4 linked regions of the Saccharomyces cerevisiae S288C genome follow. Changing the gene in region 4 together with the main gene of any one other region gives a genetic interaction. Each region holds a gene or a part of one and is shown on either strand. Other genes may lie near its edges.

Evidence for each region.
Region 1: mutations in HXT1 (region 4) and TRX1 together harm fitness more than expected from each alone (negative genetic interaction), as found in Saccharomyces cerevisiae (one large-scale study listed by BioGRID).
Region 2: mutations in HXT1 (region 4) and GLR1 together harm fitness less than expected from each alone (positive genetic interaction), as found in Saccharomyces cerevisiae (one large-scale study listed by BioGRID).
Region 3: mutations in HXT1 (region 4) and YGR016W together harm fitness more than expected from each alone (negative genetic interaction), as found in Saccharomyces cerevisiae (one large-scale study listed by BioGRID).

What each region holds. Positions count from the first base shown.
Region 1 is NC_001144.5:230,906-233,861, forward strand, and holds TRX1 (thioredoxin TRX1), read right to left. Parts: upstream 1,109-2,956; coding exon 797-1,108; downstream 1-796. Other genes in the region: PDC1 (indolepyruvate decarboxylase 1), read right to left, coding at 1,485-2,956. UniProt on the Saccharomyces cerevisiae protein: Participates as a hydrogen donor in redox reactions through the reversible oxidation of its active center dithiol to a disulfide, accompanied by the transfer of 2 electrons and 2 protons.
Region 2 is NC_001148.4:373,290-377,693, reverse strand, and holds GLR1 (glutathione-disulfide reductase GLR1), read right to left. Parts: upstream 2,193-4,404; coding exon 741-2,192; downstream 1-740. Other genes in the region: 40S ribosomal protein eS6 RPS6A, read left to right, coding at 1-403; SSU1 (Ssu1p), read right to left, coding at 2,525-3,901. UniProt on the Saccharomyces cerevisiae protein: Catalyzes the reduction of glutathione disulfide (GSSG) to reduced glutathione (GSH). Constitutes the major mechanism to maintain a high GSH:GSSG ratio in the cytosol.
Region 3 is NC_001139.9:519,768-523,333, reverse strand, and holds YGR016W (uncharacterized protein), read right to left. Parts: upstream 1,074-3,566; coding exon 501-1,073; downstream 1-500. Other genes in the region: YGR016C-A (uncharacterized protein), read left to right, coding at 1-88; EAT1 (putative hydrolase), read left to right, coding at 1,258-2,244; MSB2 (Msb2p), read right to left, coding at 2,471-3,566.
Region 4 is NC_001140.6:290,148-294,715, forward strand, and holds HXT1 (hexose transporter HXT1), read right to left. Parts: upstream 2,479-4,568; coding exon 766-2,478; downstream 1-765. Other genes in the region: hexose transporter HXT5, read right to left, coding at 4,522-4,568. UniProt on the Saccharomyces cerevisiae protein: Low-affinity glucose transporter. HXT1 is as well involved in the transport of mannose.

The sequences.
Region 1 (2,956 bases), on a different chromosome or scaffold from region 4:
GGCTAATGAGGTCCAGAGGAAATAGAAGGATTGTAAGCGGCCTCCACTAAATTTTGACCCCTCATACATGCTTGTTCAAACACAAAAGATTGAGGTTGAAAACTTGGCAAGAATTGGGCTAGGAGAAAGTGGCCAGGTGCTTCTTGTTCAGAACCAAGCAGATATGCTAGCACAATGTGCACCGTTCTATTTTTTTCTATAGTGTGTTTACATTTCTTGGCACATTGCGTTCGGTTTCAAATTTGTATAATTATTATTGGAGCGAGACAGGCGTTTCTGTACCGCTGTTATTTTTAACATCCACTGCGTTTTATGTATCTCTAAAATTGTGCGTTGCCTTTCTTTTGTTTATATTTTTGTTCAAAAAATGAGTTAATAATGATTTTTCATCTTCGGCTTACCGGTCTTGAAAATATTTGTTAAGACAACAGTGGATAAAATAAAACTAAACAACTCAAGCAAAAGTATTCCACTTCTTAAACAAAGCCCAACTGAAAGGTTGCGAAATACTATGTCATTTTGATTTAATCATCTAATGCTCGAGAAAATTTCAGAGCCGTAATACTTAAGTAATCGGAAGAAAAGTATCTCATTCTTCATTTTTCTCCAAATATATACCTCTTGTGTGAAAAATTAATTGTTTCCTCCACCTCCTTTGTGTGGTGGGCAATTGTGTGCTTCCGAGTAAATAACAAAACATAAGGATAATATATAATTCTGTTTTTTTGTCTAAAAAAGGTAAACTATATATAACAAACACAGTATAGAAACACAATATATCGGTCATTGGGTGAGTTTAAGCATTAGCAGCAATGGCTTGCTTAATAGCCGCTGGGTTGGCACCAACAACCTTTGCAACTTCCTTACCGTTCTTGAATAGAAGCAAAGTTGGCATAGCGGAAACTTCATTCTTTTGTGCAACATCACCCAATTCATCGACATCCAATTTATAGAAATCAGCTTGTGGGTATTGTTCAGAGAATTTTTCAATCATTGGAGCAATCATTTTACATGGACCGCACCAAGTGGCGTAGAAATCTACGACAACTAGCTTGTCTTGAGCAATTGCAGAGTCGAATTCGCTGGCAGTTTTGAATTGAGTAACCATTATTTGTATCGAGGTGTCTAGTCTTCTATTACACTAATGCAGTTTCAGGGTTTTGGAAACCACACTGTTTAAACAGTGTTCCTTAATCAAGGATACCTCTTTTTTTTTCCTTGGTTCCACTAATTCATCGGTTTTTTTTTTGGAAGACATCTTTTCCAACGAAAAGAATATACATATCGTTTAAGAGAAATTCTCCAAATTTGTAAAGAAGCGGACCCAGACTTAAGCCTAACCAGGCCAATTCAACAGACTGTCGGCAACTTCTTGTCTGGTCTTTCCATGGTAAGTGACAGTGCAGTAATAATATGAACCAATTTATTTTTCGTTACATAAAAATGCTTATAAAACTTTAACTAATAATTAGAGATTAAATCGCTTATTGCTTAGCGTTGGTAGCAGCAGTCAACTTAGCTTGTTCAACCAAGTTTTGTGGAGCATCGAAGACTGGCAACATGATTTCAATCATTCTGATCTTAGAGTTGTCGTTGAAAGACTTGTCTTGGGTCAACTTGTCCCATTCACCGGTGGTAGCGACTCTGTGGGTTTCATAGTCCTTAGCACCGAAAGTTGGCAACAAGGATAGGTGGTCCCAACCTTGAATTTCGTTGTATTGAGCCTTTGGACCGTGAATCAACTTTTCAATGGTGTAACCATCGTTGTTCAAGACGAACAAGTATGGCTTCAAGCCCCATCTGATCATGGTGGAGATTTCTTGAACAGTCAATTGCAAAGAACCGTCACCAATGAATAAGATAACTCTCTTCTTTGGATCAATTTCTTCAGCAGCGAAAGCAGCACCCAAGGTAGCACCAGTGGTGAAACCAATGGAACCCCATAAGACTTGAGAGATACCGTAGGTGTTGTTTGGGAAAGTGGTTTGGTTGATACCGAAAGCGGAGGTACCGGTTTCAGCAATGACAACATCACCTTCTTGCAAGAAGTTACCCAATTGGTTCCACATCCATTCTTGCTTCAATGGGGTAGAAGCTGGGACAGCAGCGTTAGCTGGAGTTCTAGCTGGGACAGCAACTGGCTTGTAACCCTTAGCGGCGTCAGCAATAGTGGTCAACAACTTTTGCAAAACGAATTTCATTTGGACACCTGGGAAAGTGGCGTTTCTGATCTTCATGTGGTCGGAGTGGAATTCGACAATGTTCTTGGTCTTGTAAGAGTAAGAGAAAGAACCGGTGTTGAAATCAGACAACAAAGCACCGACAGACAAAATCAAGTCAGCAGATTCAACGGCTTCCTTAACTTCTGGCTTGGACAAGGTACCGACGTAAACACCACCGTATCTTGGGTGTTGTTCGTCAATGGAACCCTTACCCATTGGGGTGACGAAAGCTGGGAATTGAGTCAAGTCAATCAACTTCTTAGTTTCAGCCTTGACGTCGTGTCTGGAACAACAAGCATCAGCCAAGATAACTGGGTTCTTAGCATCCTTGACCAAAGCCAAGATGGTGTCAATGACTTCCTTTTCGGATTCAGCATCGTTTGGCTTCAAAGACATGTCAATTGGAGTTTGCAACAACTTAGCTGGGACGTTCAAGTCGACCAAGTTAGCTGGCAAACCTAAGTAGACTGGTCTTTGGGTGACGTAAGTGGTTCTGATACATCTGTCAATTTCAGCTGGGGCGGTAGCAATGTCAGTGATCATAGCAGTGGTTTCAGAAATGTTGGCAGACATTCTGTGGAAAACAGTGAAGTCACCGTTACCCAAGGTGTGGTGCAACAACAATTGCTTAGCTTGAGCAGAGATGGATGGGACACCAACAACGTGCAAAACACCGACGTGTTCAGCGTAAGAACCGGCAATACCGTTCAAAGCAGACAATTCACCGACACCGA
Region 2 (4,404 bases), on a different chromosome or scaffold from region 4:
TCCAGATTTGGCTGTCTTGGCTTTGGTCATTGTCAAGAAGGGTGAGCAAGAATTGGAAGGTCTAACTGACACTACTGTTCCAAAGAGATTGGGTCCAAAGAGAGCTAACAACATCAGAAAGTTCTTCGGTTTGTCCAAGGAAGATGACGTTCGTGATTTCGTCATCAGAAGAGAAGTCACCAAGGGTGAAAAGACTTACACCAAGGCTCCAAAGATCCAAAGATTGGTTACTCCTCAAAGATTGCAAAGAAAGAGACACCAAAGAGCTTTGAAGGTCAGAAACGCTCAAGCTCAAAGAGAAGCTGCTGCCGAATACGCTCAATTGTTGGCTAAGAGATTGTCTGAAAGAAAGGCTGAGAAGGCTGAAATCAGAAAGAGAAGAGCTTCTTCTTTGAAGGCTTAAAGTTAGAAAGCAGTAAAAGATAAATTCTTTTGTTCAAAAACTCCTTTCTTATTCTGTATTTTGTGTATTTTTAAGCTTAAAATCAAATAACTTTATTTTTTATATAATTAACAAAAAGAAAAATAATCATATGTATTGTAAACGAGAGTCGGAATGTATCCTCAACTGAATATCCAAGCGAGTCCACAGTAGCTAATAGTCTGAAAAAAAAAGGAACCCTTGTCCTTGAACAGAAATGACAAAATTACTACGTATTTCAGGATGCTATATAAGATTGTTTACAAGAGTACAAAAGTCCAGTATAGCAACAGCAGATTGGACGTCTAGTTTCGTTGCTTCATCTCATAGTAACCAATTCTTCTGCGCTAGTCGGATGAATAGCAACACAATTATCGAAATCAGCCTTAGTGGCACCCATCTTTATAGCAACACCGAACCCTTGCAAGATTTCTGCAGAGGAATCACCAACAATGTGCAGACCGACAACCTTTTCATTTGGTCCCGCACAAACAATTTTATATCTTGTGGGTGATTTCTCACTCAACATAGCATAGTACATGGCGGTAAATTTGGAATTGTAGACCTTTATATTCTCCTTACCGTACTTTTCAATGGCTTCCTTCTCAGAAATACCAATGGAACCGGCTTCAGGATGTGAGAAAATTACGCTGGGGACGTTCTCGTAATCTAGTTTGTCATTACGGAATTTCTCTGGACCAAACAGTCTATTAGACAGCTTTCTGCCCGCTGCAATAGCGACAGGTGTCAATTCAACTTTTCCAACAACGTCACCTAGAGAATAAATGTTTGGAACATTGGTGTTCTGATATTCATCAGCAATTATTTGGTCATGAGAGTTCAGCTTTATACCTACATTTTCTGAACCCATACCTAGATGGGATTTACGTCCAATTGTCCAAATTAATTCGTCAACGTCATCGATGGACTTTGAGTCATTCATATGTATTTTCAGTTTGTCAGTTTCTACATTTTTCTCCACCTTAACAATTTTGGATAGTTTATGAACGTTGATGCCTTCCTTTACGTAATGGTCAGTAATAGTGTTCTGGATGCATTCATCAAATTTTCTCAAGACAGTTTCACCTCTAATTACCAAGTGCGTTTCGGATCCCAGCCCATGGAACACACCTGCTAGCTCAATACCAATATAACCAGCGCCAACAACAACAACTTTCTTAGGTTGTTCTTCCAATCTAAAGAACCCATCAGAATCAGTACCTAATTCGAAACCTGGAATGTTTTCGGGGAAAATAGCCTTTCCACCGGTCGCAACTAAAATATGGTTAGCGGAGTAAACTTCAGTAGTATTATCCCTTTTCTGAACTTCAACATTACCGTCCTTATTGAATCTAGCCCATCCAAATACAACATCCACTTTTTCTTTTTCTAAATTCTTCTGGTATATACCGTTCAACCTATGGACATAAGCATCCCTTTTCTGCTTAAATTCTGGCCAATTAAAAGTCAAATGCTCTTTATCTAATGGAAGATTCTGATATAATCCATATTCATTTGCATGGGATACTCTAGTAGCGAGGTCAGAAGCATACCACATGACTTTCTTCGGAACACAACCCACGTTAACACAGGTACCACCAAGAGCCTTAGCTTCAACTAGTAATGTCTTCGCACCATAAGATGCAGCTCTTCTTGCGGAAGCAACACCCCCTGAGCCACCCCCGATGACGAGGTAATCGTAATGCTTGGTGTTCGTGGACATAGTTCTTATCTGTAGACTTCTAAATGTTTGTTTGGTTGCAGAAAGCATAAAGTTCTGTAAACTAATATGTAAATAGATATATATACATATGAAGGAAAGCAGCAAAATATACTGAGAGTGAGAAGCGCATGAGAAAAACCAGAAGTGTTTCTTATACTTTTTTAGACTGATTTTAATAGTAGATTCCAAATGGAAAGCTCCGAAATCCTCGAAAAATTGACAAGGGTCGTGCTTACTAAGTGACGTCAAAAAATATCAGGCATAGTGAAAACCAACGTGAAGAAGCAAAAGCAGCAAAGCGCCGTGCAAATGAATTAAACTATCTATTGAGACTCCTACATGAAATGCTTGCCAATTATGTACGTATAAAACCAACAATTTTATGCTAAACGCGTAAAATCTAGAGCCGAGTTTGATTCTTCCACGCTTTCAATGCTGTTATACGGAGAAACTGTCGTCTTTTCCGTACCTGACTCTGAAAATAATGAAGATTTACGGGCAGCATGCAGCATCTTTTTAGAATACTCATGCAATGTGCATAAAAGGCATAGAATTGACCAACAAACGCAAACACCGCCGTATATGGTTCCTAGGACTCTAAATGCATATAAGGGAACGTACTGGTTATACTGCACATATAACTCTTCGTTTCCTAAAGACATAGTACCCATCGGGAAAGTCATCCCCCAAAAACCTTTGTGGAAGGTATAAACTCTCTTCACTTTTCCTGTCTCGTTTTCAATCTCTTTTTTATTGTAGTACGACAGGATTGAAACGACAGAAATCACGGTGAAAAAATAGCCCATAGCGAGCAATGCCATAGCAGAAACCATGCCTAGAATTTTGAAACACCATGGAACTGCAATAGTCAATATCTCTTGTTCTCTTGTAATGTTATCTGTTGGGTAATATTTGCCCGCATATTTTTTTATATTATCTGTAAGCAATAAGACTCCAAAACTTCCTTGGCCCATCGGGCCCAAAAGCAGGAATAAGGTGAAAACCTGTGTCATTGGTGGTATCTTATTAATATAAAGACTCCAGAAGTATATCGCAATCAGTATGAAGACGAAGATAATGGCATGCAGCCACGTTAAGGCACATATGACCAACGTTATCAGTTGAATGTTTCTATTAAACGCATGGAAGAATATTTCTGACATTGTGAATGTTCCACAACTTGAAGCGACGACAACCAGCGGAATGATATCCAGTAGCAATACACTTTTCATGTTTTCGGATGCCATTTTGATATTATATGAAGGATAATTCCCAATCCCTTCCAAAGGGTAATAGTCATGCCAGATGAGAAACGAGATACCCCACGCTATTACTAGACAGACTGCGAGATCATACCACCACAAGACGTAAACAAATATCATCAAATTTCTGGCATTAGTGGGGCTCTTCGTCGTGTTCGCTTTCGAGAGTGCTCCTAAGAAATTTATAATTGTAACTAACCCCATGGGATAAGTACCCCAAAATAAATTGTGCTTCATATTTCTGAAAAAGTCATTAAAATATTCTCTGAAGCTTTTCTCCTTAATATAGACAATCAAATGTAATATTTGTAGTGCCTGCACAGCAATGAAAATAAGGCAAGCGATAGCAAACATGATGTAGGAGCATATTCTTAGCCACCTTGCAGGATATGGGAAGCTATATAGAATATTCGATGAAATGCCGACACCCATGACCATCATAAACATGAAGGGGTCAAACTGCCTCGTAAGAGCAAGTACCCAATTGGCAACCATTTTTTTCTTGTACTTGTCTTCTCTTACACTATAAAACGTTTTTAAATTGCGCGTATTGTCTGAGCTCAATCAACAATCGTTACTAGGGGAAAGCTGTAATTTGTGTGTTGTCTAAATGCGGAGAATTTGTTCAGCCAATATCACAAGTTTCAACTTAACAAGACAAGGATTAGAAATAAGAACTACACGCTGGTTGGCTATTCTTTTAGAACCTCTAGTTAAATAGGTAAAATAAGCAAAGTGAGCAAAAATAAGCAAAAGAAGTCAAAGACAACCCCAATGTGCCAAAGACGGCGATGAGTCTTCTGTTTTTTAAGATTCATGCACTCTCAGATTTTCGGCTACAGACGCGGCACAAGGATGAAAAAAAAAAAATGATAGTTTGCAGGAATTTATCAGTCAATTGATGGGAGACATCGCTATTGTTGCCTTATACGATACACTGCAAAAACGATAACAATTTCTTATTTGTCAACCTCGTGGGAGACTCGATAGGTTGCATG
Region 3 (3,566 bases), on a different chromosome or scaffold from region 4:
TCCAATTGACATGGTTTTGCTCGCTCACCTCATTGGCATCATCTACTTAATTATAATTCTAGGTACATTGGTCATGTTGTTTTCTTGATAGATATGCAACGCCTCGAAGACTATTTAGCAAGCTATTATATTGAAATTAGAGACTTCTGCACTAGATAGCCTTTTCAAAACATACGGATAAACTGATCTTTTAACGTATCTGCACTTTTGTACGAAGCTGGAAAGTTCCGAAGAAAGTGTTAGCTCCAAACTGAATCCTCTTGTAAGCTATTCTATGTCCCCTTTGACTAGGTTAGTCTTTTACTGGATTTTAAAGCAGATTCCTGTGACGATGATTTTGGAATTAAAGCTATATATATGTATGCTTGAATAAGCTCGTAGCAGTACTTTTTGGCCTTGTTCACAAATAAGGAGCTGCCAACCAATCAATTTGTAATATTAGTAATAAATATTCCGGAATATACTAACCAATGAATATTACAATACGTCGCGATATAGAACTAAGCATTTTTGTATTTGTATTTCAAGCATCTTAGATCTGCGATTTCATCTTCGATATTTCGAGCCCATCTTTTCACAAGCACAGCGACCCAGAATAAAAACATTGGAACTTGCAAACAGAGCACCGTTTTTTTATCTTCGACCACATGATTGAAACTTATCCAAGCCATAAGTACTAGTAAAATAATGTTTATTATGTTAATAGAAAAATTGCTCACTCTTAACTTAAACTTTTTGAACAAAAGATAGTCGTTTACAATATCATATCTAAGTGTGATGCACGAACAGATCAAAGAATTAGCGCCAGCAAGAAGTGCTAACTTAATATACCCTCGCGATTTTCTTACGAGTATCATTAGCAGTCCGCCATATAGCAAATACAATATGCTTAACAGGTTTATGTACAGCTTATTTGTGATGTGAGCATTAGTCTCAAATTTTTGTATGAGTTCTTCCTGCTCTTCTGTATCTAATGGTAATATGGATACATCTTCTTGATCAGATTCACCGTCATGAGTGTAGTCAGAACTCAAGCTTAAGATCTTTCTATTGAATCTTCTTAATCTGGACATGATTGAAATATTTGCTTTATCTTAGTATCCTGTTTAAAAATTATTCTAAACTCAACCTATCATAGAAACCAGCCTTTACTGAATACCACAGCGCGTCTTTTGGGGAAACTGTTTTTGTCTCATGCCAAGGTCGAGACGTATACAAACTGCAAAATAAAAGGAACCGTGGGAAGAGGGCTTACAAATGTCGAGACTAGCGCATAATAAAGCGCTACCTTATAAAATAATTGTCGATTTATCATTCCATAGAACGCGTTTACCCTCAGATGTTTCATCGCTAATAAAATTCGAGCAAAGACCTGCAATTATTAACATCCATGGCCTTTTGGGCTCACACGTGATGTTTCATTCTCTCAATAAGCTTCTTTCAAGGAAGCTTGACGCGGATATTTTTTCTGTTGATGTAAGAAATCATGGCATTTCACCAAAAGCAATACCTTATGACTACACTACACTGACCAATGATTTGATTTATTTTATTGAAACTCATATTGGCTTGGAGAGACCTATTTATTTACTGGGATTCTCTATGGGTGGTAAAATTGCATTATTAACCACATTGTACAAGAATATTAATATACGAAAGTGTATATCAATTGATTTACCGCCTTATGAAACCCCAGAATTAGATCCCATGATATTACAAAACTATGACTTAATAATGCGGATTATCCGCAGAGATGTCAAGATTTTAAGAGGTTCCCCCAGCTGGCAGAAAAAAGTTCTTGAGCTTTTCAAAAGTTTGGAATGTAATAAGAGGAAATGTGGTGGAGCTGTGGCACTCTACTTTGCCAACGGTTTTCTTTCTGTAAAATCCAATAATGTACACCAAGCACAGTTACACTATGAACAACAACAGCATGATCCTTATATAAATTACTCAATGCCTCTCTCCAGCATGCCGAACCTGTTGGATGAAGTGAAAAAATGGCCGGATCTATCGAACCAAAGGGACTTCTTCCAAAAAGGCACAGCCAGTCGTAAAGTTTTATTCATGAAAGGCCTGCAGTCTAACTTTATTAACAATGATTATTCCCTCCTGAGGTATAACTTTCCCTGTGCTGATGTCCGAGAATTTAATACTGGGCATAATTTACTGTTGGAGAATCCAGAGGACTCATTCAAATGTATTCTGAACTTTTTTGCGGAGGAGACGCTGGATTTTGAATAAAATCTTGATGTACGTAACGCACTTTCTTCTCGTGTCAGGCCCAAATCAACGCACACAGCAGTGCTTCGATCTTTGATTACAAAGTAGATAATGATAAATGGAATAGATAAAAGTATTAAAACAACGTCTCCTTGAAGGAGAACTATACATAAGATATGAAATAAGTAGGTATCGTTATAAGTTTATAAGGTTATGCAAGCGGAGAAAGTCTCTGCAGACATTGCTATCAAACTTCGTTCCAACCCAGGGAGTTTTGGCTAGCAATTGGTCTTGAAATTTTTGGTATGGAACTCGATGTATTGTGCCTGGTTGGAGTTGAGTCATTATTTGTCAACCCGTGACCATAGTAACTATCATCCATCCAATTTTGAATTCGCATAGATTGTGTTATGGATTCTTGAACGCTCATTCTCTTTTCATTATTGTAATTTTTCTCTCCACCAAATTCACTTGAACTGATACTGGAAATTTCTGGGTTCTTGATAATTTCTTGACTTTGAATCCGCCTTCTTATGATATACTTGAAAGCAAAAATCATGAATAAAATATATAAGCATCCACCAACAACAACGCCGATAACTAAACCAATGATTTTTTTCTTTGATTTGCTAGAAGTGGATACGTTGGAGTTAGATTTGGATGAATATTCCAAAGTACCGGCATCTTGATAGGAATTTCCGGAAGATGAAGACACACCGGAGTTCGAATTAGATCCTGAACCTGAAGATCCTGAGTTCGAATTACTGGAGGAGGATCCGTCCGAAGATCCGCCAGAGTTGCTGTTACTATCGTGTAAGAGGCCCGTTAGCGGTATTGAGGAATCAACCATTGCAGCCATAGATTTTGCTGTACCCATTCCATCCGTGTAAAAAGCGCTTGAAGAGTTGGTAATTAGATTTGACAGCTCCTCTATTTCTGCAGTTGGAAAGTATACTTCAGCAACACTTACTAAGTAGTTGAGTGAGTCATCCTGTAATGGCACTATTTGTAGTACCGTAATGTTTGTGAATACGTTCTTAAAAGGTGTGTTCAGAGCTTCAGGCAAGTATCCGAAGATTTGAGCCGATGATTTTGGTTCTGATACAACAAATTCGTAGTTCAAAGCTTTTTTGAACCCTATTGTGATTAGGGTGTAGCCCTCAGGCTCGGGAACTTGTGTCGCGGCTGCAATTGCATGGGGCAAAGTCATAGTTTGTGTTCCTCCAACGGTAGAAGATGCAGTGGATGCAGCTTCTGGTGCCTGCGTGATTAACTCAGTTGGAATCCACCAATTGTTGTCACTTGAAGTGACCAGACTAAACGTACTGGAACTGTTAGTCGTT
Region 4 (4,568 bases):
AGGTTGGCAGCCTAAGTTTTGGATTTAATAACCCTAGGGCTTTTCATTCTTTTATCAATCAGAACATTTACATGAAGAGGGCTGGAATAAAAAAAAAATATTCGGTTCTCCTCCATGCATAATGACGTAGTATTCTTATTGGCGCCAAACATAGTGTCATAATGCTTTTTCAACGATTTTAAAGTAACTCTTAGTGGATTGGAAAGGTCGCCTTTTCGATGGTAGCGTGCATTTTCTCGTCATTTTTTTTTTACTTGTCGTCTTTTCTTTACTGCTTCACCTCTTATCAAGCAAGTGTTTTTCGTGTCTCCCTGTGCCAGTCAGAAAATACATATGATTGGCAACTGTATATCCATTGAGATCGACTCGGTTATCTGTTAATGGAAATTATTGCTAGTAATTATAAATACCTAAAAACAACATCCTAACAGGCTTAAGTAACACTACTAGATGTTGAAGCAGCAGCGTTGTCAATTTCTATTCATTTGACATTTTTCCGAAATCATAAGCGGGCGTTTGAACTATGTATAGCGCCTATGTGGTATTAACCCATACTATATCATATAAAATTTTTCCTCGGAAGAGTGCCAGAATGAAATTTCTTGTTCCTTGGTGAAGGTCAAGAACTAGCAAAGAAAAGAACATCTGTTTATGAATTTGACAAGAATTTTGTTTTAACACCAATATAATATCACCTTTATAAAATTTACTGAGAAATTAAATACTGTATAAGTCATTAAAATATGCATATTGAGCTTGTTTAGTTTATTTCCTGCTAAACAAACTCTTGTAAAATGGTTGGTCATCATGCATTAGGTCATCAGCGTTGTAGTCAGCGCCTCTCTTGGATACTGGAACCCAGGAAGCTGATTTCCATGGTAGAACACCTTCGGCGTACATATCATTAACTTCTTCTAATGATAAACCTTTAGTTTCTGGAACGAAGAAAAAGACGTAAAAGTAAGCGAAAACCATACAGCCCATGAAAACGTAACCGTAGTAGAAGTTGATGGCACCAGTAATAAATGGGGTGAAGAAACTAATCAAGAAACCCCAGATCCAGTTAGCAGCACTGGCAATAGACATACACTTGGATTTGACTCTTAATGGGAAACATTCTGAAATAACAACGTAAGCAATTGGGGCCCAGGTAGTAGCGAAACAGAAAATGTAGAAACATGCGAAAACAATCATACAGTTACCAGCACCCTTTGAAGATGGTTGATCTTGACCGTTTGGCCATAATCTGGTAACACCAACAGAGGCATAGACAACATAACAGCAGACCATACCGACAGCACCCCACATCAAACAGTTACGACGGCCAAAACGGTCAACGGTGTACAGAGAACAACAAGTGGAGAAGAAGTTGACGACACCAAAGACAATAGAAGTTTCAAAAGAGTCACTTAAACCGACAGCCTGGAAAACAATGGTACCGTAGTAGAAGAAATAGTTATCACCAGTTAATTGTTGTAGAGATTGAATCATGATACCCATCATAGTACGTTGAAACATGGCTGGTTTACCAGTGAATAATTCGCCCCAAGATGCAGTACCAGCGGCTCTCATTTCTTCGACACTGGCTTCGATAGTTTCCAACTCATATTGAATGTATGGATGGTCAGGTGGGCATTTGTTAACTTTAGCTAAAGAAGCCCTGGCTTCGTCGATTCTGCCAGCTTCAACCAAATAACGTGGAGATTCAGGAACAAACATCATACCACCAATCATAAATAAGGCCCAGGCGAAACACAAACCTAATGGAACTCTCCATTGGACAGAGTTTGAGTAATTCTTGGTACCAAAATTGGTACAGTAACCTAAGAAAATACCTAAAGTAATCATGACTTGGTAACATGAAACCAAGGTGCCTCTCATTTCACTGGGGGCGACCTCAGATATTAGCATGGGAGATAAAACTGTGATACCACCGACACCTAAACCAGAGATAATTCTACCAATGAAATATTGGTACCACTTGTTGATCGAGGCTATTTGAATAATGATACCGATAGTGTAGATTACTACAACGACAATCAAACCGATTCTACGACCATACATATCACCTAGCTTGGCTAAGACGATACCACCAATGGCACAACCAATGTTAAAAATAGAGACAATTAAACCAGTTCTCACCTTGGACAAGTAATGACTACCGTCGTGGTGCTTCATACCAAATCTTCTTAGAAAATCAGTTTGAGCAACAAAACCAGAAATGGTACCAGTATCCCATCCAAATATGAAACCACCGAAAGCAACCATAACACAACAGATAGAAACCGTTACGTAGACACCTTTTCCGGTGTTTGGAGGGGCAACGGCGGGTTGCACTTGACTTTCACTTAAGTTGTCGTGAAAACTTTCATTTTTACCTTCTGGAGTATTCATGGCCTTTGAACGACCAGATTCCAATTCATATGAGTTGGATGAATTGGATTTCTGAGGAGATATTAGATCGGGAGTTGAATTCATGATTTTACGTATATCAACTAGTTGACGATTATGATATCTTTATAGATTTTAAGGTGGGGAAAGAACATGAGACCCCAGATGGAATTGATTATGGGGACATTGTTGCCTTTATATATAATTTCAATATACTAATTCAAATGATTAAAAACGTGAGGGGGACACGCAACTTCGGGTGTTAAGAAATATTTTGCTACATTAGATAATGGTGGAGTTTCCTGGCTTGTCGGATAAAAGCCATCAAATGTCGCAGCAGCTCATGTTTACGTTTGCTGTCTTCTGCCCACGTCATATGAGTGGTATTCTTCTATCAGCACTTGATGAATATTCTTTTTCTCATATATCTGAAAGACAAAAGATCGGCACGGCAATGCCCTGCAGCATTTCTTCCTAGTTTTTCCGAATTTCCATTACGTATTGGATCTTGTGCGCATATTTGTCAGTCCTTCACGGAAAAAAAAAAAGAGCACTGGGTCACTTCGGAAAAACTTTTGACTCAATGCAACAGTGTCATAATCCTTTGCGCTGTCTCTTTGAAGAAAAATCAGGAGTGCAAGATATCGATTAATTCCTTGGAAGTTATGATGGTTAGTCTTAGTTTAACTCTCTTGAAGAAGGGTTTTTTCAGTTGGTCAACACTCTTTAGAGGTAAAAAAAAAAAAAAAAAAAAAAAAAAGAGAATTCTTCATGTAATTTACCATGATTCTACGTTTTTGCAAGCAAAAATGAAGATAATCCGAGCGCATGCGCAAGTAGTCCCTGCCATGCCGCTTCGGAAAAACTTTCGAAACCAATACTCCTTACATCCGCCTTGAATTTAGGACCTACAATTGTTGTCTCTTCTGCTTGAACCAATAAGCCCTAGAAACCTTACACCCTAATTTGCACAAGAAAACTACGAAAAAATTTTTTCCTCTTTTTTCCGCAGCTCCAATCTCGCCCTGCTATTTTTTTGGTTCGGAGAAAAATAGTCGGTCGATATGAATTGAAGTTTCATTGTGGCCACTCGTTTAGGAATGGAATAACCTCCGCGAATGGAAAAAAAGAACTCGGAATATCAAAAATTCCGGCTCAAAGGAAAAATTTGCTTCAGGAGGGGGGAATTATATTCCAGATGAGACCTGCAAGGATTTCTGTGTGAGGTTTTCTCGGAGGAATAATAGTTTTCCAAAAATTACTTTTGGCAACTACGTGAATATAATTGACTACGGATATCCTTCGAGAAGGCCATAAAAAGAACCGTGACAGGGCCAAACAGAAAAATAATGAAGACAAGTTTGCTTTTTCTCTCACTGTATTTGAGGATCGGAAGCTTTTTGCACTGAAAATATTCTGGGTTAACAAGGTTTAAAGAAGCAAACTGCCACAAAGTATATGAGAGTATAACCGGACGGTACCTATACTTTGAAGTTGGAATAAATACGGGGTAGACAAAAAGGATGTGTTTCTGTATGTCTGATGAGAATGATGTCATCAAAGAACGTAAACAACAGTAACTGTCTATATTCTTGCTTTTTATTATGCGCTGTTACAGCAGGTAGCGGAGTTTTCAGTTCTTTCCCTAGTATGTAGTATGAAGGATAATACGGTAAAAGAACGGGGCTCTTGATTCATCATATAAATTTATTTTCCCCTGTTGAAACCTCGAGTAACCGTCCTCACTGTTTTATTACCAAGGATGAGCTCGAGCAGTTGTAAGAGAGAAGTGGGCAGAAAAGTATAAGTAACAAGAAACGATATACAAGTTCTTGTTGTTAGGCGTAGCAACCCTTTCTCCCCTGGTTTGATCCTACTTAAAATAAAGAAAAAAAACAAAAACGTCATGATGATTTTGATATTATTAGACATACGTAATTTAGTTGAATTAAAGGAATAACAGGCAGCCCTATTAACCACGGACAAAATATCTCTGCATATGATTGCATTATTTGTAAACTATGAATGAACATATGAACGAAAACGATTAATATTAATATTAAAATTTGAAATGGTGCAATGCTGAACATTGCAAGTATGCGAAAATAGTTGATCCTACACTACAAGAGATTATTTTTCTTTAGTGAACATCCTTTTATAAAATGGTCTCGGATCAT